2 linked regions of the Sus scrofa genome follow. The protein of the gene in region 2 purifies or fractionates together with the protein of the main gene of each other region. This does not show direct contact. Links are inferred from orthologs where the notes say so. Each region holds a gene or a part of one and is shown on either strand. Other genes may lie near its edges. The genes, in order: RFWD2 and TRIB3.

Region 1 (3,819 bases), on a different chromosome or scaffold from region 2:
TTTAAAATCTACCTGTTTTGGACAAAAACAGTTTTTCTTTAGGGTAGCTAGCTCATTGTGGATTTCTTTTTAATTATCCTTCTTGACAGAAATAATTTCTATGTCTCTGTCAATGTATGTTTTCAGTTTTGGAAAATTGTCAGCATCAACTCTTCAGATACATTCATTTTGGTTAATTCTTTCAGATTTATCTTTCAATTTACAAATTCTCTTTTTATTCTCCAATTCTAGTACTTGTTCTTTTGTAGGTATTTGTCCCCAAATTAGATTATCCTCTCCTTCTTCCTCTCTCTCTATTTTTTGCAGTTGAATCTGCTTGTCCTTCAATTTAATTCAAGAATTTCCTTCTTTCTCTTTCTACTCTGTTATATCTTGTTTACTGTCACCTCTCTGAGTGCAGTTTACTGTTTGGCTGTTTATCTCTTTGGAATTTGACTCTTTTTCTTGTGATCCAAGCACTTCTTTAAAATATAATTCTTATTGTCTACTCTTAGAAGGAGTTTACTTTAGATAAATGTTTTATCTGTGTTACTACTATTAAGTTACTTTTTAATTAATTCAATGAATATTTAGGTAGTAACTGAAATATTATTTGTTAATTAAGAAGCAACTTAATATTTCTTAATGCATCTTAATACATTTTCAGTTGTGGTATGATTATTGTTAACTTGTGTCATCTCAGGGTCTCATTATATTTCTTATTTCTTCATCTGTTAATGTGCCTCAAGCGTAATAGGTGATAACCAAGCAAAGTAGGTAATAACCATTTGTGGAAGAATTGGCATACCTTTTAGTTAGCATGGAGTTGGTATTATATATTTAGGATCATAGACTTTTGTTCTTTATATGATTTTTATGCCAATGTATTTCAGATTTGTTGTTGCTATCAATATATATATATATGTATGATTTATTCTATTCTAATGTATATGTCAAACTTAGTACATATTAATGGCCCCTTAACCTAATAATATTAAGTACCTATTCTGTACAGTCAAGTGCTGTTCCTCTTATTCAAAAGGTATAGGGCTGCAATATAAGGAGATGAAAAAGTAATTAGTTTTCTCTTGGTAATTGTTTTCTAACAATTACTAAAAATTAAAATTCTCAAAATCCTAAGTTTTAGAATGTCATAATGGATTCTATCTTCATTTAATTTCGAGAATTGAAAGAAGCTTCTTATATTATTCTTATAAAATTGGGCTGTTTTTCCTTTAAAATAAGAATTGGAAAATATGTCTAATCACTATTGAGTTTTTAACAATTTGTAATTATTTTAGTGTGAACTTTTCAAATTACCAAAAATATGCAAGCATTTGGATATTCTGTGATGAAAGACAGTATGAATTATTCTAAGTTACAAGTGTCTTTTCTTGTTATCACCTTAGACAAAGAAACAGCCCTGGTATAACAGCACATTAGCATCAAGACGAAAACGACTCACTGCTCATTTTGAAGACTTAGAGCAATGTTACTTTTCTACAAGGATGTCTCGTATCTCAGGTACACATTCAGGACTTCTTAAGATATCTCAATTCCTATTTCCATATCCATATCTAGCCTCTTATGCTGGATTTATGGAAAGTTCTATTCGTAAAGTAAAAGTGTGCATTTTTGACATTGTGGAAGTTTTTAGACATCTTGGAGAACATTGCTTTTCCATAACTCTTTATTCTTTATTTGGGAATTTTTAATCTTTATATGGCAAGCTGAGTAAACTTAAAAAACAAATCAGCCATGAAGAGGTAGCTAGCAAAAATAAGTTCAATTCAGTTGCCTCCTATTATTCAACATATGTTAAATTCTAAGTATTGTCCTCTGTGCCAAGAATAAAAAAAGAGGAAAGAACTGGTATTGTCAAGGAGTATTGTAAATTTAGTGGGGGAAAGCAACAGGTAAATAAATCTATGTGATATTACATGTTATATAAGTGTGCAGAGGGCCCTAAGGGAATAGAGAAGAATATCTGCTATTATAACAGGGAGTGAAAAAACCAGGCCAAGCTGTAGACAGTGAAATGTAAGAGAGTGATTATGATTACTGTAGGGATTTCAGAGAAGTTGTATTTAGTCAGGGCTAGTATAACCTTAAAAAAGATAATTGGAAGCATACTCAAAGTAGAGGAAATAACTTACAAAAAGATTTGTACGTGATAGCGTATAATATTTTTGTTGCTACAGAAAAGTAGTATATTTCTGTGCCCTTTTGTTCTCTAATCTTTAGCCTTTCTTGGTGTCTTTGCTCACAAAGGAGGTAGGGCCATTTATACCCATCCTCCAGGGTTTTTTTTTTTTTTTTTTTTTTTTTTTTGATGGACTGTAGATGATGCATATAAAATACAATGCTTAGTATAATTTAGATTCTCAATTAATTGATGTCATTCATAGTAGACCTGCTTAAAATGAGGATGACCAAAGGAAAAAGATGTCTGATATTTTTTATTAATTGTTAAAAATTTGGCCTTGGTTTTCTCTTTAATAGGCATGTTTGTATCATGATCTTCACATTGCTTGTCACTTTTGGACAAATTTGCCTCAGGATTGGAGGTGGAGGAAAAAACATATAGATTTGCATAGTATTTTTCCTGTGAAGACTAGGAAGAAGCCAAGCTGTCTCTAAGTGTGTTTGAAATTAATAGTCAGTGGCTTTCCTACAAATAGAAAGCTTCTTTGTATTGTCTGAGAATTAAACCCCTTCTTAAACTTCTCTAATGGTCTGTAGTCTATGGTAGGAAGCTGTTAAATTGAAAGTGGTCTGAGACCTACATTCTGACCGGCAGAAAGTCCACAGTAGCCCTTTCAGATGTTGTTTGTCAGTATGATGTTGAGATACAACCACAGGCGAATGGCAGACATTTTTTTAAAAAAGAGAACGAGGTGGGAGAGAGGTTGGAGTAGGCTATTGATTAATAATTTTTAAATAATGAGCATAATTAATGCTCTGGGAGAGTAAAGATTAAGTGTGAACCAATTTAATTTATTTTGGGGATATAGCTTTATAGGAAGGTAAAGTTAAAACCAGGAGGAAGATTAGATTTTTATTTTTGTAGACAAGGCTGTATTGTACTTAAAACATGTTATCTTTAGTTTTTAGTCATCTCAAACTTAATCAGATATGCACATTGACTACACTAATCATATTACTGAAGTTCCCCCTAGTGTCCTTGACTATAAGGATAAAATTTAAATTTTTACGTAATGGGGTACCTAAGAGTTTGTCCTTTTGTATGTATGTTTTCAAATGAGAATCCAGTCCCCATCCCCAACTTTAAGTTTTAGCTATTAAAATGAGAGACGGAGACTAATAAATTAATGCCTTGATCTCTTAATTGTAATTGAAAAAGAAGCTAAATTATAAAGCATTAGAAGAGAGAAAAGAGACAGTGAAAACGGTTTTACAAACTAATCTGTAATTAGAATAGGAGAGGTGATAGGCCAGCATGTGATGTATGGGTATTGATCATAAACCAACCAACCAAACAAAATCCTACCTTTTCACAACCAGATAAATAAAAGTTAATCCCTATACTTTCAGATACTGAAATAACTATTTTTAGTGTTTTTATAATTTCTTTTAGAAGTAGATGTTAAATGAGTGGGTATGATGGCAGAAGTTCAACTACCCTAGAAAAGGATTGTGATCTTGTAAAAAATAGACATTCTTAAATGCTTGTGAATTTTGTATACTTAGGAATTGATGTCAAAATGTAAAAGAATAGATTAACTAAAGCCATTTTTAAGTGGATATCTAAAGTAACTCTATTTTCAGTATTTATTAAGTAGATCACAGTAATAGGGTTGTATATCAAAAGAACCAATG
Region 2 (3,819 bases):
GATTCGACCCCTAGCCTGGGAACCTCCATGTGCCACCGGAGCAGCCCTAGAAAAGGCAAAAAAAAAGAAAAAGAAAAAAAAAAAAGAAAGAAAGAAGGCACAGATGACAGAGGATATAGATTCAAATCCCAGCTCTGCCCTTTGCGGGCTGCTTGGCCCTCCTTGGTCAGAGTTGAGTGAAGTGAGGCTGCAGCGCTCAGCACAGGGCACCGTGGTGTCCCCAAGGCTGGCCTGCCCCCCACCCACCCCGTTGTCCCCACCTGTGTTCACGCCTTGCTCGGTCCACAGGTATACCCGGCCTGCGAGGCCCTGGCGGTGCTGGAGCCCTATTCGCGACTGCCCCGCCACCCGCACGTGGCCCGGCCGTCGGAGGTCCTGGCGGGCACGCGGCAGCTCTACGCCTTCTTCCCGCGGCCACACGGGGACATGCACAGCCTGGTGCGCCTCCGGCGTCGCCTGCCCGAGCCGGAGGCCGCCGCGCTCTTCCGCCAGATGGCCTCCGCCCTGGCGCACTGCCACCAGCACGGGCTCGTCCTGCGGGACCTCAAGCTGCGGCGCTTCGTCTTTAGCGACCGGGACAGGTGAGTGTGGCCACAGAGAAAGCCTCTCAGTGTGGACTTGACTGATGTTCTGGTCATGGTTAGACGGAGGTGATGCACTTGGGGCAAGAACATGGCAGAAGCCATAAGGCCTCCTCGGCCCACTGCACCTGGAGATACAAGAAGCTGATACCCATCTCTGTGACAGAACCTCAATCTCTAGTTAAGGTGTGGAGTTTCTCCCCTTGGAAGTTTCCTCATTTACTTCCTAATTACAAGCAATGAATTACTGGCTTGAGGTACATGGAGGCTTTGCTTGTGGATGGATATTCTATTTCTCCTCAAACTTTCACTCACTCATTTCAGTGCCGTCCATTCTGTCTGTAGCAGTTATTCACATGATGTCTAAGGGTGGTTTTCTATTTCCTTCTACATTTCATACAGAAATGAACATGTTTTTAGTAAGAAGTAAAATGTAAATTTTATAACGATGTTTAAGCTAATAATACTCAGCTTCAGGTAATTTTGAGTTTAGGGTAAGTTCAATGCCCCAGACTTCCCAGAAGTGAGCGAAGTGCTTTCTGGAGTTCTTGTTGTGGCTGCGGTAACAAATCTGACTCATGTCCATAAGGATGTGGGTTCGATCCCTTGGCCTCACTCAATGGGTTAAGGATCTGGCGTTGCTGTGAGCTGTGGTACCAGATGCAGCTGGGCCCCTCATTGCTGTGACTGTGGGTAGACCAGCAGCTGTAGCTCCTATTAGACCCCTAGCCTTGGAAACTGCATATGCTGCGGGTGTGGCCCTTAAAAAAAGTGCTTTCTTCTCTTTTCAAGGCAATAGTTTGAGAAGCACCATTGGTAAATGAGGGACAGTGGAGTCAGACAGACCTGGGTTCAAATTCTGTTTCTCCCTTTTTTTTTTTTTTTTTTTTTTTGGCCAAGCCTGCTGCATGTGCAAGTTCTGGGACCAGAGACAGAACAGAATTGAGCCACAGCCGTGACAACTGCCGGATCTTTACCCACTGCACCACCAGAAAACTCCTGGTTCTATTTTTTAACTTGCTCTTTGGCCTTGAGCAATGGCTTCACTGGCCTGAGCCTTGATCTCTTTATCTGTAAAATGAGCCAATAATACTGACACCTCAGCCCACCCTCTGTGCGGTGAGTCACAGGACTGGTCAGCGTTTTCAGACAGGCACCCAGGAAGTGGTGTCATAGGAATAAGATTAATAGCAGTGGTAATAGAATGCTGACTCTTAAAGTAGTCTAGAGTGCTCTGTGGGAGCTGTTTTAAGTAGAAGTTGCAAATGGGGACTATACACACTTTTTTTTTTTCACCTACATTTTTGTTTGTGTTTTTAATTGAAGTTGGTTGCCCACTTTTTAAAAACTGAGATTTTTGTCATTAAAAATGATTCTGGGCTTCTCTTGAGGCAAAATGGGACCCCAGAGCTACTGTGGGAACCATGTGAGTGGCTCATAGCACTGGCTCTGGGTGGGTGAGAGTGAGGTTCACATCCCAGCCCTGCTTCCTGTGGCTGCAAAATGGCATCGTCTTCAGAGGTTGTATGAGCGTGAAATGAGATGAGCCAGGTACCAGCTTAGCCCAGGGTCAGGTACACAATGGACACTCCAAATATTGGCCGAATGCTGTTAGCAGGGCCTTTTAGGTAGGATTTATGTTGAGGTGTTTGACACAATCTCCATATCCTATTTTTCTCATTTTGTCACCTGCCTTGACCCTAAGTTTGCCTCTGGTTTAAGAAGGGCTTAATGCCCTCAGCCCCCTCAGCGCCCCTGCCCCAGGGACTATTGGGAAATGTGTTCCTCCCAGAGTCCCTGTTCAAATGTAATTGCTCCATGACTTTGAGAAATGACTTAACTTCTCAGAGCTTAGACTTCCTCATCAGTAAAATGGGATCAATGACACAGCCTCACAGGACTGGCTCAATCAATCTGGCAAATGCCAGAAGGCATTTGGGAGGTAGATGCCATTAAGGGTGCCAGGGTAGGGAGTTCCCATAGTGGCTCAGCGGGTTAAGAATCCAACTAGGATCCATGAGGATGCAGGTTCGATCCCTGGCCTGGCTCAGTGGGTTAAGGATCCAGCGTTGCTGTCGCTAGGTCAGCAGCTGCAGCTCCCATTTGACCCTTAGCCTGGCAATTTCCATATGCCATGGGTACAGCCCTAAAAAAGAAAACAATAAGGGGGTGACAGTGTGGGGTGGTGGCATGATGGTCCCTTTAGCGAACCCCTCTGCTTCTCCCCTTGCTTTTTAGGACAAAGCTAATGCTGGAGAACCTGGACGACGCCTGTGTGTTGACGGGGCCTGACGACTCCCTGTGGGACAAGCACGCGTGCCCTGCCTACGTGGGCCCCGAGATCCTCAGTTCCCGGGCATCCTACTCAGGCAAGGCGGCGGACGTCTGGAGCCTGGGTGTGGCGCTCTTCACCATGCTGGCCGGCCACTACCCTTTCCAGGACTCAGAGCCTGTCCTGCTCTTTGGCAAGATCCGCCGTGGGGCCTTCGCCCTGCCTGAGGGCCTCTCAGCTCCTGCCCGCTGCCTGGTCCGCTGCCTCCTCCGTCGGGAGCCCGCTGAACGGCTCACGGCCCCGGGCATCCTGCTGCACCCTTGGCTGCGGCAGAATGCGGTCCCCACGGCTCCCTCAAGCTCTCGCCTCCGGGAGGCTGACCAGGTGGTCCCCGAAGGGCCGGGACTGGAGGAGGCGGAGGAGGCGGAAGAGGCAGAAAGAGATGTGGGTCTCTATGGCTAACTAACGCACAGACTCTCAGCCGCACTCGGCGGGTTGGGTTTGGGGTATCTCCACGCTCTCTCCCGCCTCTTTGAACCGAGCTGAACCTTAAGTGCCTTCTGGGAGGGAGAGAGAGGAGGTGTGCACGGAGCGTGCCAGATGCACAACCCATGGTTCTGCACACCTGTGCCGTTGAGCTCGTGCCTCGCTGGGTCCTCTTTGGGTGCTCACTGTGCCAAGCCGTGATTTGGGTACTGGAAACACAGAGAATGACAGAGACAGAACTCCAGCCTGCAGAGTGGACAACACTTTCCATGTCCAGGGGTCAGTGTCTATACACTGTGGGTGGCTCCCTCAGTGCAGGTGTCAGCATCCACTCGTGCTGGTGCCCAGGCACCTCTGACCTGGGACAGTCCCTTTCACAAACAACCCAGCTGCCTTTGTATCTCGCACCTCCTTAGAGAAAGGGAAGCATCACTGTGCCAAAGGCTCCAGGCCTCTCTCCCATAACTCAGGACCCTAGAG

Evidence for each region.
Region 1: the proteins of TRIB3 (region 2) and RFWD2 purify together in Homo sapiens (affinity purification with mass spectrometry; 5 studies listed by BioGRID and IntAct, counting the BioPlex papers as one, with this or other methods). This does not show direct contact. The link is inferred for Sus scrofa from reciprocal best matches to the Homo sapiens genes TRIB3 and COP1.

The regions. Positions count from the first base shown.
Region 1 is NC_010451.4:118,016,519-118,020,337, reverse strand, and holds part of RFWD2 (E3 ubiquitin-protein ligase RFWD2), read left to right. Parts: intron 1-1,388; coding exon 1,389-1,503; intron 1,504-3,819. UniProt on the Homo sapiens protein: E3 ubiquitin-protein ligase that mediates ubiquitination and subsequent proteasomal degradation of target proteins.
Region 2 is NC_010459.5:34,809,570-34,813,388, reverse strand, and holds part of TRIB3 (tribbles homolog 3), read left to right. Parts: intron 1-288; coding exon 289-581; intron 582-2,819; coding exon 2,820-3,315; 3' UTR 3,316-3,819. UniProt on the Homo sapiens protein: Inactive protein kinase which acts as a regulator of the integrated stress response (ISR), a process for adaptation to various stress. Inhibits the transcriptional activity of DDIT3/CHOP and is involved in DDIT3/CHOP-dependent cell death during ER stress.